3 linked regions of the Xenopus tropicalis genome follow. The protein of the gene in region 3 purifies or fractionates together with the protein of the main gene of each other region. This does not show direct contact. Links are inferred from orthologs where the notes say so. Each region holds a gene or a part of one and is shown on either strand. Other genes may lie near its edges. The genes, in order: adrb2, wwp1 and arrdc3.

Evidence for each region.
Region 1: the proteins of arrdc3 (region 3) and adrb2 purify together in Homo sapiens (affinity purification with western blotting; 6 studies listed by BioGRID and IntAct, with this or other methods). This does not show direct contact. The link is inferred for Xenopus tropicalis from reciprocal best matches to the Homo sapiens genes ARRDC3 and ADRB2.
Region 2: the proteins of arrdc3 (region 3) and wwp1 purify together in Homo sapiens (affinity purification with mass spectrometry; 4 studies listed by BioGRID and IntAct, counting the BioPlex papers as one, with this or other methods). This does not show direct contact. The link is inferred for Xenopus tropicalis from reciprocal best matches to the Homo sapiens genes ARRDC3 and WWP1.

What each region holds. Positions count from the first base shown.
Region 1 is NC_030679.2:41,024,791-41,035,487, forward strand, and holds adrb2 (beta-2 adrenergic receptor), read right to left. Parts: upstream 5,516-10,697; 5' UTR 5,306-5,515; coding exon 4,046-5,305; 3' UTR 2,315-4,045; downstream 1-2,314. UniProt on the Homo sapiens protein: Beta-adrenergic receptors mediate the catecholamine-induced activation of adenylate cyclase through the action of G proteins. The beta-2-adrenergic receptor binds epinephrine with an approximately 30-fold greater affinity than it does norepinephrine.
Region 2 is NC_030682.2:125,459,104-125,469,756, reverse strand, and holds the start of wwp1 (NEDD4-like E3 ubiquitin-protein ligase WWP1), read right to left. Parts: upstream 5,643-10,653; 5' UTR 5,563-5,642; intron 1-5,562. UniProt on the Homo sapiens protein: E3 ubiquitin-protein ligase which accepts ubiquitin from an E2 ubiquitin-conjugating enzyme in the form of a thioester and then directly transfers the ubiquitin to targeted substrates.
Region 3 is NC_030677.2:178,682,821-178,693,333, reverse strand, and holds the start of arrdc3 (arrestin domain-containing protein 3), read right to left. Parts: upstream 5,672-10,513; 5' UTR 5,483-5,671; coding exon 5,203-5,482; intron 3,588-5,202; exon of another isoform or gene 2,917-3,587; intron 2,467-2,916; exon of another isoform or gene 2,235-2,466; intron 1,895-2,234; coding exon 1,813-1,894; intron 1,010-1,812; coding exon 862-1,009; intron 475-861; coding exon 372-474; intron 151-371; coding exon 1-150. UniProt on the Homo sapiens protein: Adapter protein that plays a role in regulating cell-surface expression of adrenergic receptors and probably also other G protein-coupled receptors.

The sequences.
Region 1 (10,697 bases), on a different chromosome or scaffold from region 3:
TCTGAAGGAATGCGGATTCTCTGTGGCACCCGTCCTAAACAAACAGAACCCCCCCCCCCCTTGGCCAAGTGCTCCTCGACCTGCTTCTCACCTCTGCTCTGCAGATTCACACTTGCATGCCTTCTGCTTCACATCTCACAGAAACGGATGGTTTGGTTACTATTGTGTTTATGTATCTGTAAGCAGTCGTGCCCTAAGCTGCAGAGCTGCCATATATTTGATCAGGGATTTACTTTATTTACATCAACAGTTTCATGGATTTGCCTTCAAGTAGCCGCAATGCAACAACACACAGGTTTCCCTCTCCTCTGACACTCTCTTCATGGGATTCCCAAATAAATTGGTTTCAGACACATTAAATATAAATTAAATAGGAAAATAACCCCCTTTGACATGAGCTCTTTTGGCAGGGCTTATTTAAAAAATAAACACTATCTGAACTACCCAAATTATATATCACTTCAGGTAAGGAAGGGGTTGAATGACTTTCTAAGGAGGTGGGGTCCCTGTGATTCAGAGACTATGGTGGTTTCCTTTCAGTCTGAGGAATCATGTATGTCTGTGTAAAAAATATAAAACATTTATATTTATATGTGGAAGATTAGATAGTGTATATTCAATTTTTCTGCCCAAATGAACAAGCAGATGTCATAGAAGAGTATTTTTCCCAGTGGTTTTAAATTAAATTGTAAGCATAACTGCAACTGAAAGTGGTATCAGTCTGTGTGTTTATATTCACTTAATAGCCAGCTGATTAAAAGAGCTGGAGCAGACCTGGCTTCTGCCACATTGTTTCAGGAGTCAAAACCATTAATGCAGAGAATACAGTATAAACACACAGAAGTCAGAACCAGAGAACTGAACAGAATAAAGTCATTGCAGAAGTTTCATTAATGTATTTTGGAAAGTTGTTTTCATTATTTACAAAAGAAAACAGTTTTTGGGTGGAGATTCCCTTTAACTGCATTTTCTGTGAGATAATGACAAGTGGCTGGATTTGATAAGCCATTAAATACTTTTTGCCATTTTAGTACCAGTTCTATTAACTCTTAACTCCTTTCCTGCTTGCTTGGAAGTAGTTGGTAACCCAAAAAACGTATGTAAAACATACTTGCCAGGCTGTTAAACTTGCAGCTAAGTGTTAAACTGGCTGAGCTGAATCATTATCTCTCTGATAATACGGAGGGCATGGGTGTCTCAGTTTAGGCAAGGGATTTCCAAATACTGAAAAAGGCTCAGGCTAAGACCCTTCATCAGTAGGTTCTCTCTGGAGAAAAACAATGTTCTGAGAGTTGTCATTCACCAGTATGCGGGCTGCATGCTAGAAATATCAAGTCTAAGTATTTATCTACTACCTACTGCAAATGGCTTCATACCCCCCAGTGTCAGCAATCAAGAGGTAACACAGGTCTAAGTTCTGGCACCCAAGGGACCTCCTTTTTACGTTTTACACTGAATGTGCATGTTATTCCCCAGCTCTGTCATGCATTAATTTCATTATAAGCTTACGAATGCCCTGCCAGCAATCCTATAGCTCTATTTAAACTGCAACTTCCTACAACCCCCAAGAGATGAAAGGGACCATTGGTTCTAGTTCAACAACCACATAAGGGCTACAAGTAAAATCCCTGGAGTAACAAAATGAACACACTTCGGGCCATTTTCACCTATGCAACCTTTCTGCTGGCACACAGAAGTGTGCACCACAATAATCCACTAAATAAGAAAATTCAGGCAATTTTAACTGTGCATTGCACTGAAGGGGCTGACGCTCCCTGTGCTCCCGGCTTGAGTCAGTATGACTTGCACCTGTTCTGGTTCATGTCAGGCTTTGACAGCACAAGGATACTCCGATCCAACCACCAGGGAATGGGTTATTTTCTTTTACTACTTTCTTTAAACAGCCAGCCTAATATGCACTCATTAGACTACTCCATAACACTAAAAATAAATTGCACTATGCAGCAGCTTCCGTAGGAGCCCTGTGACCGCTATAGGAATCTGAGGCTGCTGAGAGTAAATCTTTTCCTAAGTCACTAGTATTTCCTACTCAGCGACCAAACCAACCTAGCGCTTAAGGAATGCCGTGCGTTCCCCTATTGATAACATGTCAAGTAGCATGCACTCTGACATATGGTAACCCTACTGCTGAACATATATTGATCTCCTTTGAGAATCACCTTAAATGCATAAAGGTCAACAGTATTTTGTGATCGCTGAACGGTAAACACACTAATGTTTTAGGCAATTCTTATCTGCAAATCTCTAAAAAACAAGAGAGGGGGTGGGGGAACACACAAACACAAGCCAGATTAATAAATAGCACAATGACCTTTAATAAGAGCAACATACAATACTGTAAGGCTTGGAAATGTGCAAAAGAGCTGATCTGCTAGTGACCCTGTGAGCTGCGCAGAGGAAATGTATGGAACAGACATGCCTTGTGCGATAGGGAGAACTCAGCCTGTCCAGCAGGGCGTATTAAAGTGATAGACCATAATAATTTGTAATGTCCTGTGTCTGTAGCCTATCAACTATTTTGTTTTTATATTCTTATTTATGAATGAGCCTCTGCTTTACTTCCTTCGTCTGTGGTTTCCTAGTTTATGCCTAAACATACCCCATTAAATCTATACTGAGTAGAATCATTGAAGAGACAAGAGGAAACAACCCGCAAGCTTGTCTTTAAGTGCTGCTGAACTACAACTCTCAGAATCCTACCACTGTCATGGGCAACTGCTGAGCACTGTAGTGCAGTCACATCTGGAAAGCCCCATATTTTGCTCATAACCCAGAGATAACTGATTAATTACCCTGACAGGACTTGGTTTCAGCCAGAGATCAGACACTACAGAACAGCAGTAGGAACATCTGTTCTGCCCCATCTAGGAGACAAGGACTCATTTATCTCGCAAATAGGGATCTAGGAGGCTGGGCTCACCGAAAAAACAGATTAGTTTGCCATCAAGAAGGGGATGGGTCCTCCACTCAACTTTGGACTTCACTGCTAAAATTAGATGAACTAAGTTAGACCTTTAACCCTTCTATCCTTAAAATACACTTTTGGTTAGAGGCTCCAGTATACGTGACAGTCACTGCAAATGTCAAATTGCTTATAAAAAGTGCCACTTTCCAACCTGCAACAGAGGGGTTAAAGGGGAATGCAAAGATTGGCACAAACCTAAAAGGGTGGCTGGAAATGTATTGAGTTAGCTCTGCGACTTTTTTTTTTTTTTTTACTGCATTTCCTCCCTGAGAAACCATGAAAAAAAAGAATTTATTTACAGGTGCAAAAGTACACAATGGTGGTAACTATAGCAACTATTCTGATATTATTTTACATGGTTTCACAGCAGCTTGCAAAACACGACCAACCAAAGCTGGTTGCTATAGGTTACTGCAATTGTGCCTTTTTGCACCTATGCTGAATGACCCCCAAGGGTCTCTCCTGGTTGCAACACACAGTTTTCATCAGTCTTATACAGAATATACGTTTTCCTATCTCTCACAACCCAACTTTTGCAATTTCAAAAGTTCAAAATATTAAGCTCAGCACATTAACCCCATCATTACTCAGGAGAGCTATCTCAAGGAAAGTAGAATTAACCCTGTCCCTTCCGCCAACAGCAGCTGTTTTTTGTATTATTAAGGGGTAGAAAAGGGGGGAAAAAGCAAGATTTTTTTTTTTTAAGTTTCAGAATTCTTGAACTTAGAATTCAATTTTTTTTTAAGGGTTTGAGGTAGATTTTTCTTCAGTAAAGTACACAGGGCAGCAACATAAAAATATAAAAGCCATTACATTATAACAAAAGATCTCTTACCTTAATTTAAGAGGAACTGAAAATAGACAGAAATGTACATTTTCTCATAATAAATTTATACATTCTGCAAGACATGGGCACTGCCCTTCTGCAAAATATACATATATAATATACATATAAAAACATTTTCCTTTGTATTATACATTCGGATATCTGGTTGACCCTTGTATTGCAATAATCCAGTTTGTTGTAATAGTTCAAATATTAAAAAAAAATCGACAATCCTATAATAAGCAATCATGCGTGTTATGATTCTTGCCCAGTGGTTCCAAGCTAAAATCTAGAAGAGTACCTTCACAGTTCAAAAGGGAGGGATTGGGAGTTTTCTCCTCTTTAAATAAAACTTCACAAGTCCTGTCTTTAGAATACTGACAAGGTTCTGTGTCTTCGTTGTATGCACTGTTCCCATTGCTCTGGGGGTACCCATTGGCATAGGCTTTGGAGCCCGGTTTCCTTAAGCACAGCAGCTCCTGAAAAGTGTATCTGAAATCTGGGCTCCTGCAGTAGATTAACGGGTTAAAGGCAGAGTTGACATATCCCACCCAGTTCAAGAAGTTGTAAACTTTGACAGGGATAAAGTCTTTGTGCATCACCTGGACAATGTTGACTATAAAAAAGGGGAGCCAACACAAAGTAAAAGTGCCCATTATTATCCCCAAAGTCTTCAGTGCCTTGTGCTCCTTCAACCAAAACTTTGAGGTCCTTTTATTTCCTTGCTTACCATTGGTGTCCTGTTGGTTATTCTGGTTGTGGAACCTTCCCTCGCTTTTGTCTATTTTCTTTAGTTGTTTTTTGGCCTCCTGGAAGACCCTTGCGTAGACAAAAATCATGACCACCAGAGGTAAGTAGAAGGAGATGATGGAAGAGGAGATGGCATAAGCAGGGTTGGTGAAGAAAAAACAACAGGAGGGGTCATCATAGCAATGCAAGGCACTCTCCTCCTCTATCCTATACCAGTGCATGTAGATGGGGAGGAAAGAGGTAAGTGTGGACACCACCCACACCAGCAGGATGACAATCCTGGCTTTGCACTTGGTCAGGAGGCTCTGATACCTGAATGGAGAGGTAATGGCGAAGTACCTATCCACTGCAATGACGCAAAGGGTCTCTATGCTGGCAGTGACGCAAAGGATATCCACTGATGTCCAGAACTCGCACCAGAAGTTATTGAAAACCCAAGTGTCCAGGATGATGGAACTCGCTCCGAAGGGCACCACTATCAGCCCCATCAGCAGGTCCGCACAGGCTAAAGACGTGATGAAGTAGTTGGTGACCGTCTGCAGCCTCTGGAACTTGGCTATGGCAGTGATCACCAACACGTTGCCGAGCACAATCACCAACACGATGCAAGACATGATTATGCCCATGCCCACCATCCACGCATCCCCGGGCTTATCGCTGGCGTTGCTAGTGTTGGAGACGTTGGAGACCAGCTGTTCGAGGGTGCTGTTAGGGTAGGGGCTGGCGGTGACCCGCTGTTCCATAGCTTTGCAGTCCCTTTGACTTTACTTCCACTTGTTAGGAGTCGGTTGGGTGTGACACGCAGCGCTGAAAGTACTCCTGCCCCGCGTATATCCAGCGCATTTAGCCATGGGGGAGGCGGAGTTGCCCGGTGTCGTTCATTTGTGCCCGTCCTGTTTGTGGGGCGTTAGACATGGAACTACCTCTCTCTCCTGAGAGTCTCTTCTGATTCTGGGCTGTGGGCTCGCCTGCTTTCTTTTATTAACACCCGCCCTTACGTCACAACGGGCTCCAGCCAATCCCCGGAGAGCAAGAGCGGGATACCGCGTAACACCGGCTGGTCGCTGCCTTTCTCTTTTCCTTTCGGAAGTTGCCTGCGCTAATAGTTAGCTGCGCTATACTGCGCTATACTGCACGGCGGATCAAACGGTGCCACTTACAGGCTTTAAGCAGGGTGGGCTCGAAGTTGCACGGCAGTGCATCTAATCAGTTGCTGATGTACAAGTACAGCCCCTGGTATCCCCCGAGAGTTCGAATTCTACAGCTACTGGGGCTGACTGGACATTACTGGACTCTTTCTGCGATTGGCAGATGTTTAGCTATGTCCAAAGTTTGATGTTTAGGTACAATTCCCACCATTGATTAGTTGGATAGCTTGTGTTACATATCCCCCTGCTTTAGGGTGAAGACACACAGAGCTACTAGTCGCAGCTTCTTTTTCACAGCTACTAAACGCCAGAAAATACCCTCCCATGGACAATACTGAGAATTGCCTCTGCTAAAACACAGGTACAGCCAATTATCAGTAAATGATCAGCATTGTCTACTTTAGTATATATACTAGTAGCTCTGTGTGTCTTCACCCTTAAGCGTCACATAACCAGCTACTACTTGTATTTTATTTATGATTTATTTCTTGTCATTCTTTTGCCCAGTGTATCTGATATCTGTGCAACACCTATTCTGCATTGCAGAGGCTATTGTGGCACTATGCGCTAATGGGTAAGGGCAGTGAACAGAATAGGAAACAACGTCAATCATTTAAACACTAAAAACAGTCAGAACTGTAATTTATGTACAGAGTTGCAGCTATGAAGGCATGCTGCAACCAGCTAACCCATTCCCAAGGGCAAAGCAATAATCAGAGCAGGGAGGGTGAAGACTATGGTGGCCCCATACTGCTAATTGTTGCACCTCTGCTTTCTTCTAATTGTTGCACTGCAGCCAAGAGCAGAGCCCATGGGCATATACTGTATGTATGGGAAGAAAAGAAGTCGGCAATAAACCTTCGGACTATGTATAGTAATTGTATCTACAGCTGTCATAAAAGATATGTTCAAATTCTTCTTCAGTGCAGAGTAAACTTGCAAAAAGTACAGAGAAAATAGAGCTGCTATATTGTATGTGAGTGTACTGAAATAACTTGCCACCTAGGTAATTATTAAGTGAGAGTTTTGCTTTTGGCACATATTAGTGGTACCAGGGGGGCAAGGGGCTACTTAGATCACCCCATTGCCGTAGTAGCTTTTGTGGTGATGTGGCCCAAAAAACTCACTCGGCAGGCCTTTCAGCTGTTGTTGAACTACAGGTCCCAGAACACTAAAGAATTCCCCCCCGTATTCAACGGTCATTGGGTGCTGGGAGTTTAATAGCAAAAAAAAGGCTCATCTTGCTTTACTCCCCCTACTATAAGCAGCACTTCCTGCCTCCAGTCCGGCTTGGTGGTGGACAAAAGATGGACCCTGGAAGTCACCCTTTTTTGAATCCCCCAAAGCTCTGCCGATAACAACCGATGAGAATCAGCCAGCAGGCAGCTGTAACTTATGTGTACAGTACAATGCTATGGGAATAGCAGGGGGAAAGTGAGTAACTCTTGTTGTAAGTACACATTTAATTAATTTATTGCAATGGCAGGGTTTTTTGGCTCCATTTCAGCCTCCTTACTGTAATGTCTCTGCGTCTTGTACCATGTTGTTTCTCTGTTGCTTTTTACCATTGTGCATAAGATATATACCATTTTAATGTATAAATAAAATATCATAGCCTTCTGTCTTGCATTATCATTTTATATAATGTGGTCTCTATGCCATTTAGTCCATGTGATCCTCTTTAACCAGTGGCAGAACTATTTAGGGGGCAGCAAGTTCAGCCCAGCTTTAATAAGTCAAGGAGGCATACCAAGCAGTGAGAACGGTGGAAGAGTATGTGTAAAAGGCGGAGAGGTGTAAAAGTTTGCATCTGGTTACATTACTGCTATTGACAAGATGGCATTTCTTCCTGCAATAGCCAGTGGCAATTCATATAAAGTGTTTTTTTTTTTATATTCCGAACCTGTAGTAATTAAAATACATGAAAGCCAACTCCCAGACTTATCCAGGGTCTCTGAGAAAAGGGTTAAGAAACCCCAAATTAGTGGATTTGTATGCCAATTAAGAATTTTATCCTGGGTTTGTAAATATACACATGGATCTTCAGTCTGTGAGATTAGGAGGCTTGTAGCCTATCTTTATTACAAATCCCAGAATCCTATAACATCCTGTGGGATTATCAATTCAGCCTTTGATGGAAAACAGCAGGATACAAGTACAGCTTTAGGTGTAACTAGTGAGGCGTTATAGTATTTTACAGCATCATTGCCAACTTTCTACTGGGCAAGTTGGGCAACTGAGTTAAAATAATAAATAAAAATTCCTATGCTTTTTAGGGGCTGGTAACTCCTTGACCTTTGTGACAAGTACAGTACTGTATATCATACCCATTCATAAGGAACTAACATATATCAAACCAGTAAAATGTCCATAGTGAAAGCATTAGATGGTCCTGAGCACAACATTTTAAATGAAGAGGTCAGGAATTAAAAATTACTGATTTCTAAAATAAACTACATTTCCCAACATTCCCTGCCAGTAGAGCAGCGGTTCTTAACCTGTGGGTCGGGACCCCTTTGGGGGTTGAACGACCCTTTCACAGGAGTCGCCTAAGACCATCGGAAAACACATATTTCCGATGGACTTAGGAACCAAGACACCGCTCCTCTATGGTTGGGGGTCTCCACAACATGAGGAACTGTATTAAAGGGTTGAGGCATTAGGAAGGTTGAGAACCACTGCAGTAGAGTGATACGATTGATCTTATAGCATTAGCTAGAAGAGGCTTTATAGCCATGGAGAAAGGTACCTGTGGGATCTACAGTATCTTTTACTTCTGCAATAACAAGGTTGGTAACTGGTGGGGAACGGGTTAAGAACCATACAATAAAACGGTAAGGCTTTCATATTAAAAATGTAGGGTGTACAATACATAGTGCTGAAGTGTGACAAAAAGGTTGCATATGATACTGTAATATTGAGTGTAAATAATACCGAAACATTATTGTACTGGGGAGTTATTTTTTACTTTACCCTTCCCACTTCCTCTTTTAAATACTTTATTCTGCAAACTTAATAGAGAGCAGGAAGTAAGAGAGAAATTTTAAATTGCTTCCTCAATCACAAAGTTAAAAAAAATAGCACAGGCAACGCAGCCAACCATAGGTTCTGGCAAACCCAATGCACAAATGCACAAATATGTTTTCCATTTTAAAAGATCTATAATTCCATTTAGAAAACTGGAAATAATGGGCAGCTTTTTGCTACCCCTGAGAAATAGCTGCCTTGGTCAAGGCCACTTTGCCTTGTGGCAGAAATGGCACTGGATAAATAATTAAAGGGGCACAGTTTCATTTTATTAGTTTTTATATTTGATCATCACATTCAGAAATGTTTTCACTGCTTGTGTTAAGTATTTATAAATATTGTTGAGAATAAGTGCCTACCAGAGTCAGATTGTGCCGCCGGGACACCAGGCAGGGGACCCTGCGGGTGATTAAGGGGGCACGGCGGGGCCCCTGTGGGGCCTCCTGACTGGGCAGTAAATTGCGCAGGTGGAGAAATTGCCCACCATGTGCCATTGCCTTGAAAGTTGATGCAATCTCCTCAGCCTATTTGTACATAAGATGATAAGAGGGTTAGAAGTGCAGGTATGCGATCCATTATCCAGAAAGTTCTGAATTACGGGAAGGCCATCTCCCATAGATTCCATTATACAGATATCTTTTCTCTCTGTAATAATAAAACAGATCCAAATTATGGAAAAATCCCTTATCCGGAAAACCCCAGGTCCCAAGCATTCTGGATAATGGGTCCCATACCTGTATATAGTTTTTTTTTTTTTTTTGATGCTTGCATTTGTGCAAAAAGTTTTTCCATGTCTTTTTTCATTTGTGCTTTTTAAGTTTGGATCTTTTAATAAATTACTAGGTATTTGTGGCTTTGGTGGAAATGAATTTAGTTGTGGTATAAAAAAACTCAAAAACCGCTATCCGAAACAGATTGGACAAATATCTGGGACAACGCAAAAAAAATGTCAACCTGTGTCAGACAAAAAGAACACATATACAAAATCCTGATGTTCTGGTATCACACCCCCGAAAAACTAAATAAGCTTTTTCCGGACCATTCTCCAAACTGCTGGAGAGGCTGCGGATCTCAGGGCTCCCTACAACACATTTTTTGGGAATGCCCCATAATCCAGCCCATCTGGACAGAAATAGCAAGCTTACTGGGCCGACTGTTTTCACGTGAGGTTCCCCTAGACCCTTCTACAATGTTACTGGGGAAACCATTCCCCAAAATGCGTAAGTGTGGCCAAGCATTAATCAACCAAATACTTACCGCAACCAGATTGGCCATCGCAGCCAAATGGAAATCACCAATTGCACCCTCCATGACTGAAATAATCAACCGAGTGAACTCCAACAGGAAATTTGAATACGGAATTGCCACTCTACACAACAACACCCCTCAACACCTCAAAATCTGGGACATTTGGGAACTAAATGGCCTGGCCACCTAGCCTCATCAAGCTTCACAAGGGACACCCGCCCACCCGCCTATATCCCCCCCAAGTAGCAGACCTACTGCCAATATAGATTACCCAATGACTAATAACCTAACAGCCATCCCAGGCTTATAACATGCATCCTTCAGTTATCTGTACCCTTAGCCTTAACTTTTTTCTTTCTACCCTCCCTTTTGAATTTATCTTATTGTTGGTTATCCTTTTGTAGAAAAAGCAGACACAGCAGTTAAGACTTATCACTGGTACAATAACTCCATTAGTTCATTGCTTCGTGATAACTAATATGCCTCTGTATCATATAACCTTGTATTTCTCTGTCCTTGCTTTTGTTATTGGAAAAAAAATAAATAAATAAAAATATAAGTTACAAAAAAAAAAAAACTCAAAAACCACGAAAATCTGAATGTTGATAATTCTACTTCCCAGTATTTAGTTTACCTATGTTTATTTAATCAATATAATAGAGGGCTATCCAGTGGTGATTTTGTGATAGGTAGATAGATAGAAAGATAGATA
Region 2 (10,653 bases), on a different chromosome or scaffold from region 3:
TATTTCATGGCACTAATATGACTACATAGTAAAACTGCAAGGTCAGTGTAAAAAAAGACAAAGTTATCAAGGTCAGCCCTTCCAAAATACTGAGCAAACTATTGCACAGTCTATTCCAGTTCTTTTGCTGGCAATAAAAAAAAATCTTAATGGCAAGAATACAAGATACGCACTGCTGCCTGGAGAGGTCAATGCCTGAATGAGCTATTACAGGGGCTAGATGAGCCACTGATCAGTAAGGCCTATGGCACAGAGTTTGTTCAGAAAAATGCCTTTTACTGCACACACAAGGTGGGTTTCGGTCAGAAACTGCTTTCAGACCCCTGCTCCTTCTATACTTACAACACTGTAAACAATTAGCTTTTGGGAAAGTTCTTGCAAGCTGAACTGGAAGCAAGCTGTTTATAGCAAACATATATGTTAACAAGTAACCCTCAACAACTGTAGAACTGCTGCCTGCAGGCCATTCCATAGCACCGAAGAACTACTCGCATTGTGTGCATTGTGGCAAAGAACAAAATATGTACACAGAAATTTTCAAAGATGCTGGATTTTTATCTGCCATCTGTTTACTCCATAAGGACCAATGAAAAAGCACCACTCCATGGTACTGGGGAACAACTTGGAAATGCAGTATGGGAACATATGCCTAGGGCAGGGGTGGGCAAACTTTTTGGCTCACGGGCCACATTTACTCACCCCCGGGCCGGACCGGGCCAGGGCGGGCCCCCTTCTCTCTTTAATTCTGGCACGCCAATGACACCAAGTCTCGCGTGATGAGACTTGGCGTCGTCGGCGGGCCGGATTAAAAAGGCAAAGGGGCCGGATGTGGCCCGCGGGCCGTAGTTTGCCCACCCCTGGCCTAGGGTGATTGAAAGGTGCAGAAGATGGTTATGAGGTCCATTTGCCAGACAACACTATGTACAGTTCTACCCAACTATATAACCAATGATATCTGTGAAGTTTTGACCTTAATGACATTCTATAGTACAGGTATGGGATCCATTATCCAAAAACCCGCTATCCAGAAAGTTCAGAATTACAGAAAGACCATCTCCCTTAGACTCCATTAGAAGCAAATAATTCAATAGGTGTGTGCCAGGCCTGTCCAAAGATTTTTTTGTGGGGAGGCCCAGTGTGGCGTTATTATGCCACTGATTGTTTAAAAGTATTTGCACAATTCGTTTCAGGTGAAGCAGGAAATAAGGGGTGGCTTTAAATGCGTGATACCATATTCCAAGCTACAAAAAATTGAAATCCCCCTAAAACTGTTTGCAAAAGCTTTACAGAAATTAAGGGAACTGTAATGGTTTTTTTTTTTCTTACCAAGACTTTTGTACAGTACAGTACTTCTGTTTACATTGCCTCATCCAAGCCTTATCTCTTTCACTAATCTGGCCATATACATGAAGATTCTCTCATTTGGCAAGGTTGGCCTGCCTGGCCATAGCAATTGGAGGGACTAATACATGGGTACTACATAAGTTGCCAAATCAGTGTAAAGGGGCTGAATCGCTATCTTAAATCTGCCTGTGTATGCCCACCTTAAGGTTAGCGTCCCATAAGGCATTGTCTCTGTCAGTGAGTTATCACCAATCCACTACAATTCTCATTTTAACTCAAAAAATACTTAAGGCTGATGCCACACGTGGCGTTTTTACGCGGCGTTTTTTCTCAGTCTAAAAACGCTGCACAAGCCACACATGGCGTTTTTCAGCCTAGAACTGGTGACGTAAGCAAATCCCGTTGCCATGGTGCTAATAGTGCGAAATAGCAAAAAACGCCGCGTATTTCCGCTAGGTCTGGCAGCTGCCTTTGCGTATCCATAGGAATAGCTTGCTTTGCAAGTACTGGCGTATTTCAGCCAACGCTTGAAAAATCCGTGCTTAGGCGTTTTCTAGCGTATTTCCGCTTTGTGTGGTTTGCTGCGCGTCTTTTCAAGCTATTTCTATGGATGATGATATCAGGCGTTTTTCAGCCGCCGAGAGAATTAGAAAATACGCAGCGTAAAAACGCCACGTGTGGCATCAGCCTAAGTGTTCATTTTCAGCCCGAAATCTGTGCTGTTTTTGAGCACTGACAAGCGATGGCTAGTGCTTATTGAACAGGGCAGATCAGCCACAGGCATTCCAACAAACAGTGTAACAGATGTTTAACAGTCATTCACTATGTAATTCTGTTCTGTCTTGTGGGACACTGTCTCCAATGTCTCTCTCTCATAAAAATACTGAAAAAAAATATGTAAGTTTGCATATTTTGTTCTAGGTGGACTCAGTAATTCTGGTATTCTTCATATGCTTTGCCCACTGTCTCCTTGTTATCCAATATAACCTACTTGATAAGGACATATACACTGACTGTTTGGAATAAGTTACCACAAAGGGGTTTAGCCATTGTTAGAATGTAGTAATAAGACCAGTTTCAGACAGTATTCCCAAGACTCCTTGTGGGAGTGTATGAGGATGGGCTGTTCATTTATTTACCAAACTAAAGTTTCAATCAACTGGGGACAAAGGTTTTTAATAGTATTTTCAGCACAAATGGCCAAAACTAAATACATTTTTATCCACAATGAACCAACCAACCAACATAACCTTTCTTCCTTTCAAAATAACAGTGATACATGATCAGTAAACACATTTGTCATGACATGGCACACATTTACAAGTCATATTAGGTTAAGTAACCTGTTGAAGGCCCTGAGAAGGCTGGTGACCATTAATACAACTTCTAGGGCAAAGTACTACTATATATTTTTCGTTATTTATTTTATTCAATAATCTGACAATGGGGGGGGGTAGTATGGCAAGAATGAACAACTTGGACAAGCTTTATGGAAATGATATAGAAATAACACCTATGGAAAGTTTGAAATAAAGGTGTCCAACTTTTTTACCTATAGAAAACATTTAAATAAAAAGAGTTGGCAGCAACGCAAGCATGAAAAAAGTTCCAAGGGGGTGCCAAATAATGGCATATTTGGCTCTGTGTGGCAGTACACATGGCCTTTGTGCCTCCAAGTAAGAAATTCAAAAATGAACACCTGCTTTGAGGCCACTGGAAGCAATATCAAAGGGATTAGGGGAGCAACATGGTTGGGAAACACTGGTAGCTAAAGTACGATGCACTTGGTCCAAAGTAAATTTCACAAAAGATAAACAAAAGACAACGGCATACCTGGCGGGGAGTGCTTGGACAAAAAAAGGGTAGACTAAGCAGAGAGAATGCAATTAAGGGTGAAGACACAATGACCTACTACCGGTAGTAGCAGCTACTTGTCATGGCTACTAAAATGGACAATGCTGATCATTTACTGATAATTGTCTCTACATGTGTTTTAGCAGAGGCAATTCTCAGTATTGTCTATGGCAGGGGTAGCTGCTACTAAGTAGCTCTGTGTGTCTTCACCCTAAAGGTGCACAGGCGCAAGACAACACTGAGTTGGCAAAAAAGGTGGAGTGGCAGTATACCCCCCTTGCACAGCACAAGCTCAATACACAGGGCTTGTGCTGAACATACTTTGTTTTGGAGTGCAAAGTGACCTTTTGTAGTTTGCTTTACTTTTGCCTCTATTTGGGTAAGAGTCTTTACTTTTGCATCCTTTACTATATTTGCATAAGGGAGTACCCTCTATTAATTGTTGTTTTCTGAACATACTTTTTTTGCCTATTGTTTTAATCATGAAAAATCTCAATATGGACATTACATGGACACTGAGAAGACACCACAGAGGTGGCACATAAATGGATACAGATGGCAAGGAGGGTGAAGCTAAATGTGAGCATTACACATGGAGACAAGAAAGACACCACAGAGGTGGGAAATACATGGATACACTTGGCAAGGAGAGTGAAGCTAAATGTGAGCATTACACATGGAGACAAGGAAGACAAAACAGAGGTGGCACATACATGGATACACTTGGCAAGGAGGGTGAAGCTAAATGTGGGCATTACACATGGAGACAAGAAAGACACCACAGAGGTGGCACATACATGGATACACTTGGCAAGGAGATTGCAGCTAAATGTGAAGAGTGCACAAAGACACAAAGAAGACACCACAGAGGTGGCACATACATGGATACACTTGGCAAGGAGGGTGAAGCTAAATGAGAGCATTACACATAGAGACAAGGAAGACACCACAGAGGTGGCACATACATGGATACACTTGGCAAGGAGAGTGAAGCTAAATGTGGGCATTACACATAGAGACAAGGAAGACACCAGAGGTGGCACATACATGGATACACTTGGCAAGGAGAGTGAAGCTAAATGTGGGCAATACACATAGAGACAAGGAAGACACCACAGAGGTGGCACATACATGGATACACTTGGCAAGGAGGGTGAAGCTAAATGAGAGCATTACACATAGAGACAAGGAAGACACCACAGAGGTGGCACATACATGGATACACTTGGCAAGGAGGGTGAAGCTAAATGTGAAGAGTGCACAAAGACAAAAGGAAGACACCACAGAGGTGGCACATACATGGATACACTTGGCAAGGAGGGTGAAGCTAAATGTGGGCATTACACATGGAGACAAGGAAGACACCACAGAGGTGGCACATACATGGATACACTTGGCAAGGAGGGTGAAGCTAAATGTGAAGAGTGCACAAAGACACAAGGAAGACACCACAGAGGTGGCACATACATGGATACACTTGGCAAGGAGGGTGAAGCTAAATGTGGGCATTACACATGGAGACAAGGAAGACACCACAGAGGTGGCACATACATGGATACACTTGGCAAGGAGGGTGAAGCTAAATGTGGGCATTACACATGGAGACAAGGAAGACACCACAGAGGTGGCACATACATGGATACACTTGGCAAGGAGGGTGAAGCTAAATGTGAAGAGTGCACAAAGACACAAGGAAGACACCACAGAGGTGGCACATACATGGATACACTTGGCAAGGAGAGTGAAGCTAAATGTGAGCATTACACATGGAGACAAGGAAGACACAACAGAGGTGGGAAATACATGGATACACTTGGCAAGGAGAGTGAAGCTAAATGTGAGCATTACACATGGAGACAAGGAAGACACAAAAGAAGTAGCACATACATGGATACACTTGGCAAGGAGGCTGCTGCTATACACTATACATGGATATGGGCAGATTTGGCAGCGGCACTAGGAGGGTACAGGGTTCAAGTCATATGATGAATGAAGTCAGGCTAGCATTAGCCCACCTGTGACACAATAACCAGAAGCCCCTGATGAAAGGAAACAGCTAGCGAGATATCCGGTGGCCCTTAAGGCCATAGAGATGTGAGCGAGTACTGAGACCGGAGAATAGCGGATCGCAACAAACCACGACAATGAAAGGCTTGAGAGAAAAACGCAAAGCGGGGAATGGGATCACCGACAGCAGCGCAAAGCACTAGTGGTATTGCCCGTAGCTAATGCCAGGCGGAGACAAGGAATAGTAGCCTAGGGGCAAGGAGCAGAACAAGCAGTGTGTGGCACCGACATGCCCTCATACACTGCTGCGGGAAACCTATCGACTTCACCAACCAGCTGACACAGCTGCCAACATACCGGGGCGGATGTCCCGTCCTCGGCCTCCCCTCCCCTCCCCGGGCCGCCTCTTCCTCCTTCCGAGCTCCCGTCCGATTCACACGCTGCCAGCTCCGGGCACCACTGCGGCCGTCTCACAGAGCTTCCCCGGACTCCGCCCCCTCGCGTCATCAAACTCCCGCCCAGGAAACGTCACGTGTCTCCCACCTACCAGCAATAACACGGGGCGTGGCCATGTCGTGACAGGATTGGGACAAGCTTTGCGTGACGTCACCTATATAATTCTCTGGCTAAACCCGCATTAATCTGTATGAGTTTAGTTTGATGCTCCTCTTTAGACTAGGCCAGGAGGGACATGTTAAAGTTGTTGTTAAAGTTTAAATCAACTTTTTGTGTTTCAGGCAGCATTAGTTTATGGCTTTTTACTGCTCCAAGTGTATCAGCAGGGACACTTTCAGGGTTGCTATTCTACCAGTGGTAAAACACATGCTAAAGCTGGGACCAGTATAACAGTGCCATTGCGTGTCATTGCACTGATCCACCCTAATTGTTCATCCCTTTTCAGACCAGAAGCTGCCCTCTGCCCAACATGCCAATTCTCTTCTGCTCATATTATCACCCTGGGCCTTTACAGCATCACCCCACCCCCCTTGTCACCCCAGCCCAGCAGGTTAAATCATTTTTAAAAGTTGCAAACCCTATGCACTTGCCATTAGAAGCAGTAAGGGTAAAGACTCCAGCACCCCACTTGGCACTGGCACTTAGGGTGAAGACACATGGAGCTACTAGTAGCAGCTACTTGTCACAGCTGCAAAAATAGACAATGCTGATCATTTACTGATAACTGTCTCTACATGTGTTTTAGCAGAGGCAATTCTCAGTATTGTCTGTGGCAGGGGATTTTCTGGCGTTTAGTAGCTGTGACAAGTAGCTGCTACTAAGTAGCTCTGTGTGTCTTCACCCTAACAGGTAGTAGTCAAAACACACCATGTTGTCTGTACTAAGATCTAAATAAGTCTTGGCATTACAAATAAACTGAGGCTGAGACAGTCCTCTAACAACCTCAAATAAAGCACCGGTCTATGCAATTCACAGCAGTCACTACGGGTTTTGCCAGAATATTTGCCATTCCAGCACTACCCCAAGTGCCATTAGCCTTAAAGTGATACTGGCGCTAAGGGCTGTGACAGACGGGAAGATTAGTCGCCGCGTGACAAATCTCCCTTGTTGCGGGCGACTAATCACCCCGATATGCCATCCCACCGGCTTGAATGTAAATCGCCAGTGGTATGGCATATGCGGCGACGCGATTTCCCGAAATCGCACAAGTTTCCTCTCAAGGCAACTTCCGCAGTTTTCGGAAATCGCAACGCCGCATATGCCATACCACTGGCGATTTACATTCAAGCCTGTATGATGGCATATCAGAGAGATTAGTCGCCCGCAACAAGGGAGATTTGTCACGGGCAACTAATCTCCCCGTCTACCACGGCCCTAAGTAACTGTTACTTGGCAGTCCCCTCACAGAGGAACATGGGGGATCAGATAGTAGGTAATGTAATGTAAAAGTATTGGGCAAATACTTTTAAGATAATGAATGATAGATGTAAAAAAAGATTTAATTTCTGGTGTCAGTATCACTTTAATGATAAACAACCAGTACTATTGATAAGGGATTGTGGGCTATAAGCAAAAACAGACCCCACATGTTTCAGGTCAACCTGCACATCACAACAAGAGGGGGTGTCATTTTTATTAGCTCCAGATTTTTGTGTGAGGGAATCAACTGTGCTATAGTGCAACATATTCAACGCTTTTGAAACAAACCGGCATATTTTGTTGCTAAGCCTTTGCCTCATATGGCATGTGTGCTAAAGGGGCTGTGGAGAGTGTTGCATTTAGAGGATGGGATTAGAAAAGTATGTTCCTTACCCCACGCTGGCTATCATCTTCTTAAAATAATGCACCAACCTGTAGTAGTTTTCACCTAAACATTGTGCCAACATATTGTTCTGGTGTCCCAGAACAAAATAGCAAAGAAACAGGATAAATAATACAATCACCTCATGTGTGGTTCATTTACTAATAGGCAGAGGCGGGCCAAGTGGGCCAGGCACCCTAGGCGACCCAGCCAGCCACCTTGGCCCCACCACTTCCCCCTCCCCGCGCATGCACAAAAATGCGCACACACCAGGACGCCCCAGAGGGGGGAGCGTGGCATGCAAGGCGCGCAGATGCAGTGCAGGGAGGGAGCACATGGGAAATCAAATGTGGGGGAAAGCGATCCTGGACTAGGGGTGGCAGCAGAGGTACCTGCCTAGCGCCCCCTCACACCCTAGGCAGGCAGGGCCACCATCAGAAACTTTGGGACCCAGCAAAAGTTATTTATATGGGGCCCCCCATGAACACAAGCACACAGTACCAACATTTTAGATACGCCCCTTGTGTGCACAATATAAACAGCTGTTTATATAAAGAGTTCCATTGATTAATGTCGTAAGAAGTCATTCAGTTTATAGGGGGGCAGTGGAGTTTGCCCTAAGTTTAACCCCTTCCCACCTACCTGCCCCTGCTCTGTGCTGTCATCACTTGATATGTTACTTAAGTTTTTGCATAAATTACGTAAACTGCGTAAGCTTAGGTGCCCAATGATATTGCTTTGGGGTCCAATAACCAGTCATTCCCCTGTTGCAAAATTCATGAAGAATAGTAGATAGGTCCCAATGTAAACAGCTGATGTTACTCTATAATAAGCAGTTCATATAAATAGTTAAAATTAACAATGAATGTGCTAATAGGGGGGCAGTGGAATTACCTTAAGTATTTGCGGAAGTTACGTAAAGTGCATAAATTTTGGCGTAACCTTATGCGTAACTTAGTACTTTGTGTAATCTTCGCACCACAACCAGGCCCCTTTACAAAAGAAGATTTCATAGGGCCCGGCACAACTGTACCCCCTCTTCCCAACCTGATGGCGGCCCTGTAGGCAGGTACCTCTTCTGCCTACCCCTAGTTCCGGCCCTGCTAATGGCAGCTGTGCACTAGTGCAGTAACTCATAGCGACTAATGAAAAGTTTGGTTTCATTATTCTTCCTGCAACTTGCTGAACATAGCCAATCACTGATTGGTTGCTATGAGTTACTGTCTAGGTGCAGACTTGTCCAATGTTAATAAATATACCCCACAAATGAGTGTGATTTTATTATTACACAATATTATTATTATTACTATGCCACATTATATATATATATATGTATATATATATACAGTATATATATATATATATCATCATTTATTTATATAGCGCCAGCAAATTACTCAGTGCTTTACATTAATTTATAATGAACAGGGATCTTACAATAATTTGATGAACAAGTGTTTACAGAATAAGAATAGGATCAGAGGCCCTACTTGCAAGAGCTGATTACCCTTTTCACTGTAATAATAAAACAGCACCCTGCACTCAATGGTATTTAAGCTGCGTGAATCCGTTTTGGTGGCAAAACAATCCTATTGGGTTTATTTCATGTTTACATATTTTGAACAGATTCGGATCACCATACCTTAAAGGAACAGTAACACCAAAAAATGAAAGTGTATAAAAGTAACTAAAATATATAAACTAAAATATGCTGCTGCCCTGCACTGGTAAAAGTTGTGTGTTTACTTCAGAAAGTCTACTATAATTTATATAAATAAGCTGCTATGTAGCCATGGAGGCAGCCATTCAAAGGAGAAAAGGCACAGGTTACATAGCAGATAACAGATAAACACTATTGTATTCTACAGAACATATTTGTTATCTGCAATGTAACCTGTGCCTTTTCTCCTTTTTTCCAGCTTGAATGGCTGCCCCCATGGCTACACAGCAGCTTATTACAACCCGGATTCCAAAAAAGTTGGGGCACTAAACAAATTGTGAATAAAAACTGAACGCAATGATTTGGAGGTGCCAACTTCTAATATTTTATTCAGAATAGAACATAAATCACGGAACAAAAGTTTAAACTGAGAAAATGTACCATTTTAAGGGAAAAATATGTTGATTCAGAATTTCATGGTGTCAACAAATCCCAAAAAAGTTGGGACAAGTAGCAATAAGAGGCTGGAAAAAGTAAATTTGAGCATAACGAAGAGCTGGAAGACCAAATAACACTAATTAGGTCAATTGGCAACATGATTGGGTATAAAAAGAGCTTCTCAGAGTGGCAGTGTCTCTCAGAAGCCAAAATGGGTAGAGGATCACCAATTCCCACAATGTTGCGCAGAAAGATAGTGGAGCAATATCAGAAAAGTGTTACCCAGCGAAAAATTGCAAAGATTTTGCATCTATCATCATCAACTGTGCATAACATCATCCGAAGATTCAGAGAATCTGGAACAATCTCTGTACGTAAGGGTCAAAGCCGTAAAACCATACTGGATGCCCGTGATCTCCGGGCCCTTAAACGACACTGCACCACAAACAGGAACAGTGAACACAATTGTGTCAGTGAACACAATCCACCGTGCCATCCTCCGTTGCCAGCTGAAACTCTACAGTGCAAAGAAGAAGCCATTTCTAAGCAAGATCCACAAGCTCAGGCGTTTTCACTGGGCCAGGGATCATTTAAAATGGAGTGTGGCAAAATGGAAGACTGTTCTGTGGTCAGACGAGTCACGATTCATGATTCTTTTTGGAAATCTGGGACACCATGTCATGCGGACCAAAGAGGACAAGGACAACCCAAGTTGTTATCAACGCTCAGTTCAGAAGCCTGCATCTCTGATGGTATGGGGTTGCATGAGTGCGTGTGGCATGGGCAGCTTGCATGTCTGGAAAGGCAGCATCAATGCATCAAAAATATATTCAGGTTCTAGAACAACATATGCTCCCATCCAGACGTCATCTCTTTCAGGGAAGACCCTGCATTTTTCAACAAGATAATGCCAGACCACATTCTGCATCAATCACAACATCATGGCTGCGTAGGAGAAGGATCCGGGTACTGAAATGGCCAGTCTGCAGTCCAGGTCTTTCACCTATAGAGAACATTTGGCGCATCATAAAGAGGAAGGTGCGACAAAGAAGGCCCAAGATGATTGAACAGTTAGAGGCCTGTATTAGACAAG
Region 3 (10,513 bases):
AGGACTCTCCTCTCAAGTTGGCAACAAGTTGCTTTACTTCCTTCATTTTTCCTTTGGCATAAAATGTCTGAGTTTGATAAAGGGCTGCCTTTGGTACCACCATGCGAGAAGAACAATTCTCAATCTCTGCGAAGATCTGAATTGACTCACCTTGAAAGGAATGAGAAAAGTGGACAGCCATGAGGTACAGAAAACGCGCAACTACAAGTGAGTATGGGTGGGGTTAAGAAATCCCTACATCGCTACATTTAGCAAAATAAGGGATGTTAACAACCCCTAGTACATAATGATAGTAGTAATAAGACAGCAACAAAAACATTACCATAAATCTTTTTTTTTTTTTTTTTTAAACATTCTTATTTTAAACCTACCTGGTGTGTAGCCCTTTCTTTCTATTTTGGCACTTAAGGATATTGGACCTGAGGTACATAACCAGCAACACAGGGTCTTTTCTTTTGTGCCCGCTTGGGGAGCCTAAAATAAAAGAAAACAAAACTGGTAAATTACAAATGGCACAAACACAATTACAAAGGCAATATGTCTTGAGTTAAAAGTGTATTTTCCATTTGCAATGTATTTAATTGGTAGAAAAGCTTCAGTGCATTCCTACTTTCCATTCCAGCATTCATTTATAAGTAAGGGAGGCCATATTGAACTCTACAAAGAATATGATATTGTATCCTATTTACAGTGACATGGGGATGCTTAGTTGTGGTCTACCTAGAATGTCTTTAACAAGGCAAACATTCAGGACTTTATGCCTTTCAATGCTGGCCAAAACCTATTTCTGTAAGTTTTCTATACATATTCTAGCAATATCTTAAGCTAGCCTTTGAAAAAGAGTCCTAAAGACATTCTTACCAGTAATGAAGGAGTGTTGATATCTATGTGTTCAAAGACTGTGAATTCCTTCTTTAATTTTACTGGTAGAAGCCAGGGTCTGTGCAATTCCGCTTTCACCCAGTAGCGCACACTGCCATGTCTGCCTTCAAATGAGGTAGCAAGTGGTCTGTGCAGGAGAGGAAAGCAAAATCAAGATATTGCCAAACAAATGTAACCTCTTACAGTTTAGTGTTTAGCCAACTAAACTCAAAAAAAAAATGGAGAAACTACATTCCTGTGATTAATCAGTTTTACATGTATCCACTTCCCTGGCTCTACCTATACCAATCAGAAATCCTACACTACACCGATGAGCCCCAATACAGGTGAAACTGGTTGGGATGATAATCAGCAGGTATTATATTTTAAAACCCAATACATAGACAATAGCTTATTCTACGCAAATTTTTTTTTTTTTAGAGCAAAGCTGGATTTCTTTCCCAAGATTCCCTCTGCTTTTCAAATCCTTAAACACCTACAAAACACCCCAAGTGCCACTAGCACTGCAATTAAAGGGGCAGTTCACCTTTAAATTGATGTTAAGTATGTTATGGAGTGGCCTCTTCTTAGCAACTTTTCAGCCGATCTTCATTTTTTAATTATTTGCTTTCATCTGAAGAAAAATAAACTACGGCCCTTAAGGCTACAGCTGTATTGCTTTTGTTCCTTTTCATTCTATTCAGACTCTCTTCTATAATCTTCCAAACAACTACCTGGTTGCTAGGGTTAACTAGACCCCAGCACACTGGAAAACTGCTAGACAAAAGCCTATACATTAAAAAAAATAATAATTGAATTGTCATACTCAAAAGTTAATATAAAGGTGAACTACCCCTTTGATTCTTCAAAAAATTCTTTCATTTATGATTTACACTGAATCAGGGGCTTGTTTTAATTGGGGAGGAGTTGACAAAGCTGTGTATAACTTACATTTGTGGAAGCTCAAAGCTAAATGCATATTCATGCCTTCCTGAATGAATAGTGGTTAGTCCTTCTTCTGAATTATCGTCATCTAGAAGAGAAATATACATACATGTAACAACACATTAATCAGTATACCACTATTAAAGTACAGTATCTATGGCCTGTTTAAGGGTGAAGACACATGGAGCTACTAGTAGCAGCTACTTGTCATGGCTACTAAAACAGACAATATTTATCATTTACTGATAATTGTCTCTATACGTGTTATACCAGAGGCAATTCTCAGTTAGGTCTATGGCAGGATATTTTCTGGCATTTAGTGGCCGTGACAAATAGCCGCTACTAGTAGCTTCATGTGTCTTCACCCTTAATGAAGAAGGTAAACGAAACTGCTTCCTTTTGTGGCCTACATATCCCAGTATACATACCAGAACAATATAGCAATGAATATGTGTGAAACAGAAGGTGACTGACAGAGACAGCTTATAGCCAGGGGAAACAATAAGTCACCTCGTTGGCAGAACAAGTGCTCCTAAGCAAACCAATAAAACCAGTCCCTCTGGGAAACAATAAAATCCTAAATTCCGTGACCGCACGGGGAAGGTGAGATCTCAGGGAGGGGCCTGCTTATTTGAAGTAAACAACTTGACCTTCCCCACTCCTTGGCACACACCTGGGAGATACTGTATCTGCTCATGGGTGTGTGAGCGCTGAGTCACATTCTGTTGGTTGGCATCCTGGGCAGGATCCAGTTTAGCAAATTTACAATTATATATATATATTTGTAATTGAGTGAAGGCTGAGCTGTAGAGCACCACCTACAGTTGCGGCTTTTGACTATATAGGGGATTGTGGGTTGTAGTTGATGATAAAACAAGAATTAAGGTTAATACTTGTTTGAATGAATACCTAGGGAAAGCTGACCGAAATACAAAGGGGAGCAGCTGCTAAAACAAATAAATAAATGTACATTATAGTAAATCTGAGGTATATTATAGCAAGTCTATAGGTAGCACAACGTGATTTGGTAATTTAAGTCGGTTTGCTTGACTGAATATAATTTGATATGTTTCTCTTCTTAATGGAGCAGCACTTTTCCCCTTGCCTTACTTTCTTCCTTTGTGCCAGCTCAGCAATGTGCTGCAAAGTGAGCAGGCGAGAGAGAGGCAGCCGCACAGTGTGGTAAACAAGTGTGGAACTGTCAATCACAAGCAGACTCCAGCAGGAGAGGACCGGCCTGAACCGGTGCGAGCAGAACCTCAGCCAGTCCCTCATATGCATAGCTATTACGTAGCTCAGCCGCAGAGAGCGCAGCCTAACCCATGTCTCCGCCCACCTCCTCCCCCCGCCCCCAGCTTCCGGGTGTACAGGAGACCACGCTGGATTCTTGCTGAGAGCGGTACTACGTGTGTAGCCAGCACTAGCAATGCCCAGAGCGGTACTACGTGTGTAGCCAGCACTAGCAATGCCCAGAGCGGTACTACGTGTGTAGCCAGCACTACCAATGCCCAGAGCGGTACTACGTGTGTAGCCAGCACTAGCAATGCCCAGAGCGGTACTACGTGTGTAGCCAGCACTACCAATGCCCAGAGCGGTACTACGTGTGTAGCCAGCACTAGCAATGCCCAGAGCGATACTACGTGTGTAGCCAGCACTAGCAATGCTTAGGACCGGTATAATAAATGGCTTACACAGCTGTAAGCACTGCTCCCTAGCATAGTATAAAGCATTATGTGATGAAAGTATCTCTCTGGAGACCAGTGGGCTGCTAATGAACTATAAGTCACCCTGTAAGTATAGAGCATAAGGATAAGGCTCAATCACACGCACGCCTATTCCACACACAGTCCCTGCAACACAATAAAGGCAGCTGCGCTAATAAAGCCATGAGCTTGATACTCTATCACCGCCCCCTGCTCTAGCGCCAGCGGACTAGCAGCGTCAGGGAAGGCTAAAACGTCACGGGCACGCCCATCTCACTCCACCTGTTCCCTGGCGCCCTAAGCAACAAGGCCAGCCAATCGCATTCAGCGGCCGTTGTCTTGACAACAGCCTAACAAACTGCTCTGGGCCAATCGAATGCGAGTTGGGCGCGGCACTGATTTCCTTCCTCCTCCCTCACCAAGCAAGCTAGTGTGGCGCTGCACCTAACTGTAACTGTTAACCTGTAAGTTGCTGAGGTAGAATGGCACAGCTCGCAGCACACTACAATGAAACAATGCCTTGGGCGCTTTGCTAGTCACTGTGTGAGGCTGGACACCTGTTGGTGCATTACTGAGCTCTGAGACCGGCTTACTTAGCGCCTAGTAGCATTGTGCAGTAGAGCCTGCCAGTACTCTGGCTCCTTACACTGTTCCACTAATACACAGCACATACTTTATTTTCCTACGAGCCCTTACTGACCTGGAATTGAGAGCCCAACCCTGTGTATTGCATGGAGTCCGGCAACGTTCACTTGCTCAGTGACAGCACCTCTATACCACTAAGTCATGGAGGCTAGCACCACATATTGTACAGAGAGCCGCTCACTTCTTGCCCAAACACTGCCCTCAGCACTACTCTAGCACTACTCATTGCAATGCAGCACTGGCAAGTAACGCTGCCTTGGAATGGTATCACCGGGCAGCCATATAGAGTTGCAAGCCATTCATGGAACAGCAATGCCAGCTCCTTAGCGTGATACTAACGTTATGAGGTGCAATAACGATGGAAAATATAGACATTTGTACTGAATGAAGGTGCAAAGGATGCGCCATGCATGAGTGGGGTGGGTACCCACATATCGCCCAGCAGGGATTGAGGGGTACACTGCTGTTATTCAGTGCTTCTTTCCTTTGGAAGCGATTCAGCCTGCTCACCACCTGACTCCCCATCAGCCAATCCCGTGCAAGCAGCGCAGCTCCCCCCTCCCACTCACTTCTCTCTCCACTGACACCACTAGCCGAAAACAGGATTGAACCGCTTCTAACAAAGGGTGGTGTAAACTTCAGAAAAACAAGATGATTCCTTCACTTCCCCCACCCTGCTCGCAATGACTCTTCAACTCTCCCCATGCCCCCCCCCCCATGCCCAATCACCCCCATATTCACTGGGCTCCCCAACAGGCTGCCCGGGCTCTGCGGCACACACCTTCCAGTTAGGCTGGCGAGCTGGGCACAGCCATGGGAGCCCACAGCAGCTGTATATACAGCCACACAATGCAAACAAATGGGCAATGACCGTTCCATAAGTTCAATAACAAAGCACTATGCTGATGCTGTAGAACTACAACTCCCAAGCCCCTCAGCTAAATATAAAGGCTACAACTTCACACAAATAAATGGCTGCCTGACTGATAACCAATACACCCCAATATCAGGTACCCCCAGCACCCCATAAAAGCCCCAGCATCCTTACCTCTCTCATGCCCAATCAGGATGTCTTTATGACTGAAATACTCCACTTCTTCAGTATAATTCTGGGTATAGGCAGTGTTGGAGCCAGCGTTCCTTGATTCCGTCCATCTGACTTTTGCATGCCCCCTGGCATGGATCCTCAGGGATTTCACCCGAATTTCCCCCGTCACTTCCAGATTGACCCTTCCTGAGACTGCATCCCCGCTGGAATAGACGGGGACGTGGCTGCCATTGAGGCAGTCAAAGCTTATGGTCAAACTCTTCACCTTCCCCAGCACCATGATTGTAAAAGGGGGCTATAAAAATATTCTGGGGGGGAGACAAAAGTTTCCGATTTCACATCAATGGCGATGTTGCCAGAGCACTGGAGTATGCATTTGCCGTGCAGAGACTGCAGGCAGGCTCAGTGCTCGCCCAGCGGCCAGCTCATCGGGAAGAACAGGTAGGAGAAGTAACAGCAGCAGCTGCTGTCACAGTGCTCTCTTCTATGGTCTCTTTACAAAGACGCCTGTCTGCAGTGTGCCGGCTCACTTATGTGCGGCTTTGGGAAAAACAAGCTCTCTGCGCATGCGCGCCCCTCTGCCACTCTTCCCTCACTCACTCACTCTCCGCTAGCCCTCTAATATAGGGTTCTCTTATTCAAGAGACAACTTCGTAGGTCAGGACGTGTCCTTTTAGTTCCTATTCCTTTGTTTATGCATCCAACGTAGGCAGCTACATCCGAAAGGTAAACGGGTGATTTGTGAGGCCTTTGGGAAACATCAAAAAGTGTTGGAGTGATGCAGTCGGTGCGGTGCTGCAGTCACTTCTGAAGCATTCTGATCCTGTGCCCCTTCCCAGGGCTTATATAGGGAATCGTTTCCCCCTCCATTGGAAAATATAAGGAAGTGAATATTCCGAGGTCAACGTTGCCTCTAATTCCGTCTTTGCCCCATCATCATAATAAATATGTGTATAACTGAAACTTATTGTTCACTGACGTTTACCCTTCCTCCCTTCACTGCTACCACACGAATATTTGTGCTTCAAGTTCCAGCACAATGTATAATGTGTATATACAGTGGATATAAAAAGTCTACACACCCCTGGTAAAATGTCAGGTTCCTGTGCTGTACAACAATGAGACAAAGATAAATCATTTTAGAAATTTTTCCACCTTTAATGTGCCCTATAAACTGTACCACTCAATTGAAAAACAAACAAATCTTTTAGGGGGAGGGAAGAAAACCAAAAAAACTAAAATAATGTGGTTGCATAAGTGTGCACACCCATAAACTAATACTTTGTTAAAGCACCTTTTGATTTTATTGCAGCACTCAGTCTTTTTGGGTATGAGTCTATCAGCATGGCACGTTTTGACTTGCAAGATTTGCCCACTCTTCTTTGCAGAAACACTCCAAATCTGTCAGATTGCAAGGGCATCTCCTGTGCACAGCCCTCTTCAGATCAACCCACAGATTTTCAATCGGATTCAGGTCTGGGCTCTGGCTGGGCCATTCCAAAACTTTAATCTTCCGGTGAAGCCATTCCTTTGTTGATTTGGATGTATGCTTTGGGTCGTTGTCATGCTGAAAGATGAAGTTCCTCCTCATGTTCAGCTTTCTAGCAGAAGCCTGAGGGTTTTGTGCCAATATTGACTGGTATTTGGAACTGTTCATAATTCCCTCTATCTTAACTAAGGCCCCAGTTCCAGCTGAAGAAAAACAGCCCCATGATGCTGCCACCACCATGCTTCACTGTGGGTATGGTGTTCTTTTGGTGATGTGCAGTATTGTTTTTGTCCCAAACATATTTTTTGGAATTATGGCCAAAAAGTTCAACCTTGGTTTCATCAGACCATAACACCTTTTCCCACATGCTTTTGGGAGACTTCAGATGTGTTTTTGCAAAATGTAGCCTGACTTGGATGTTTTTCTTCGTAAGAAAAGAAATACGGGAGATTGTTGTCACATGTACCACACAGCCAGTACTTGCCAAATATTCTTGCAGCTCCTTTAATGTTGCTGTAGGCCTCTTGGTAGCCTCCCTGACCAGTTTTCTTCTCGTCTTTTCATCAATTTTGGAGGGACGTCCAGTTCTTGGTAATTCACTGTTGTGCCATATTTCTCCCTTTGATGATGACTGTCTTCACTGTGTTCCATGGTATATCTAATGCCTTGGAAATTCTTCTGTACCTTCTCCTGACTGATATCATTTAACAATGAGATCCCTCTGATGCTTTGGAAGCTCTCTGTGGACCATGGCTTTTGCTGTGGGATGCGACTAAAAAAATGTCAGGAAAGATCAACTAGAGCAGCTGAACTTTATTTGGGGTTAATCAGAGGCACTTTAAATGATGGCAGGTGTATGCTGACTCCTATTTAACATGATTTTGTAATGTGATTCCTTAATTCTGAACACAGCTACATCTCCAGTTAGAAGAGGGTGTGCACACTTATGGAACCACATTATTTTAGTTGTTTTGGTTTTCTTCCCTCCCCCTAAAAGATTTCAGTTTGTTTTTCAATTGAGTGGTACATTTTATAGGTCACATTAAAGGTGGAAAAAGTTCTGAAATGATTTATCTTTGTCTCATTTTTGTACGGCACAGGAACCTGACATTTTATCAGGGGTGTGTAGACTTTTTATATCCACTGTACATAGATATTGTATATATATTGTGCATATTGTTTATAGCACTATAATGCAAGCTTATTGTAAGTATTGTTCTGCCTCCCCTAGGCAGAACAATACTTACAATAAGCTTGTATGTGCCAACCGGCTTAGGGTTTGCAGTTAATGAGTAGCAGAGGACTGTGCTCTGTATCACTGTTCCCCATCATTTGGGCACTACATCAATTCCTTGGTGCAGTCCTCTCCCAACCGTTCCCCATAGTACCTTTTTTACCGATGCTAAAAATACCGGACAGACGGCAACCCTAACCATACAAGCTACTATACATTTAAAAAGAAAACACGGTCATTATCGCATTCACTATTCCTTATAACAGGACATATAGATAATAATATAAATGCATGTAACGCCTTCATTTTACTACAAATATGCCACCCTGTTATATTAGCTTCTAGGACGCTTGTAAATACAGTAAAGGTAAGAAGGTTATCAGACAGTTTTAAGTTGGCCATACACACACCGATAAAATCATACAAAACCCAGTTTGTACTATTGTTGGACCGTGTGTGGGCCCAGAATTATCGTCCCAAAAATGTTTGTATTATGACAATCAGTTGCTTAGTTGATTGGCCAGGTTAGAAAAATTCAGTCGGATAACAATAAAATCTGAGCATGTATTGTGTAAATGAAGATATCCTTGGGGGAACTACAGTGGAATTGCATTTGGATTGTGCCATTTAAACATACAACCAATATCCAAACATTCATTGGAAGACTAAAATCTGAACTTGTACTTGAGCTTTAGGTGTCAACTATTTCAAGTTTGCAATATTTTATAAAATCTGTGGTCCCTATGGTAGAAAATTCTAAATGTGTTTTTTATAATGTATAATGTATAGGGATTTGAAGTACAAGCACTGTTATCCAGAATGCTCTGGACCTGGGGTTTTCTGGATAAGGGGTCTTACCATAATTTAGCTCTCCATACAAGTCTACTAAAATCATGCAGCTTAGTAACTATCTATTATTTTGAAATGATTTCCTTTTTAATACAACATTTTCTTTGTACTTGATGATAACTGAGCTGCATAACTCAATGCTAGTGGCAAAACAATCATGTTTAAATGTTTTAAATAGATTTAAGGTACAATGAACCAAATGATAGAAAAAAAACGCTTTTATGGAAAACCACGGGCCCCAAACCTTCTGGGTACTAGATCTCATACCTGTATAATATGCTTACACTTTTGATTATATATGGGTGGTAGAGCACTAGCCATTCTACAGCTGTGCCTACACCTTATCATATTTTCAGGCAGTGGTTCACATCAAAGCCAACCTTAACAAATAATTCTTATCATTATGGTTCAGAGGGTACTCTAATTTTCCACTTAGTCTGTTACTGTAACAGATTAATGTAATAAAAGTTCCAAAGCTGCCACGGAGTTAGTAAACCATAAACTAATTAGCAGGTAGCATATGCCAATCACCACTCTTGGGTGATGTGCCTTGCCAAGTAAAATGGGGCCCCAATAAAAAAAAAAAAAAAAAAAAGCTCCTTGCATGCAAGGTTAGACCATAGCTACTGCCCAACTTTGCTAAAACTCTGCCCACATGCCAGCAAGCCCTGCCCTCTTACATGCAAGCACCAACTGCTTGTGGCTCTCAAATCATCATTTTCTACCTGGGGCCACCGGATTTTAGCCCTGTTGGTTGGTATGGGTTGCTAGAGATAAATTAGAGGTATAAACTTTGAAATGTATGTTACTTTTTAGTACAAAGCATATACTTATGTGTTGTACGTACAATTGTTTTTTTCTTATTTCTTCATATATACACATATATCACTTGAGCACATAAGCTGTCATAGTTTCCATGTACCTATTTATGGTCAGTTTGTTTGGTTTCAGGGAGGTGGCTGGTGAGATGAAGTGTCTCTAGACTGTTCAGTGCTAAAATTAGCAACTGGTACACCCCTGTTCTGAGGCTTGTCCCATTCAGTAGCCTGCCGTCTTGATACTAAATGATCTGAAAAATATCAAAGGTGAATTCAAAAGCTACAATGATCTATTTTAGGCCTTTTTTGCTTTGTCACAGGCTGAGTCAGATATATAGTTTGCCCATGAGGTTGTCAGCTAAATAGTGAAAAGGTGTCAAAGTAATACACTAGTCTAGTCACGTCTGATAAAAGTACTTTTGTTCAACTGCTCAGGCAGCTAATAGTTTTGTTTACAGTACTACCTGCTTTGCATATGTTTAACTTACCTCATATATGTATCTCTTTCAGTTCTGTACATATAGTACAGTATGGGTTTATTCATATGGAACCATCTTATGTGTCTCCTTAGCTTATTTCCATAGCCTTTAAGCTTCCAGTACACTTGGATTAAACACACCTAGTTATTCTGATCTCCTCATATAAAGTGCTGGATTAATGTGGATTTATTGGGTACATTGTAATAGGATATTGCAGGTGACCTGTTACAGCATCAGTGAGTGGCAGGAGATTGGCAAAATGTTATTACTGAATTATCAAATTTTATGAGTGTAAGAGGGGCAGAAAAAATGATCAGATTTATCTATCTCTGGTACACAAGCAAGCGCAGGAGCATTAAGGGGCACAATAATTGCCCATACACGGGAGACTTAAATGAAACAAATTAAAAACAAAAAAATAACTGTGCTAAACATAGACAAC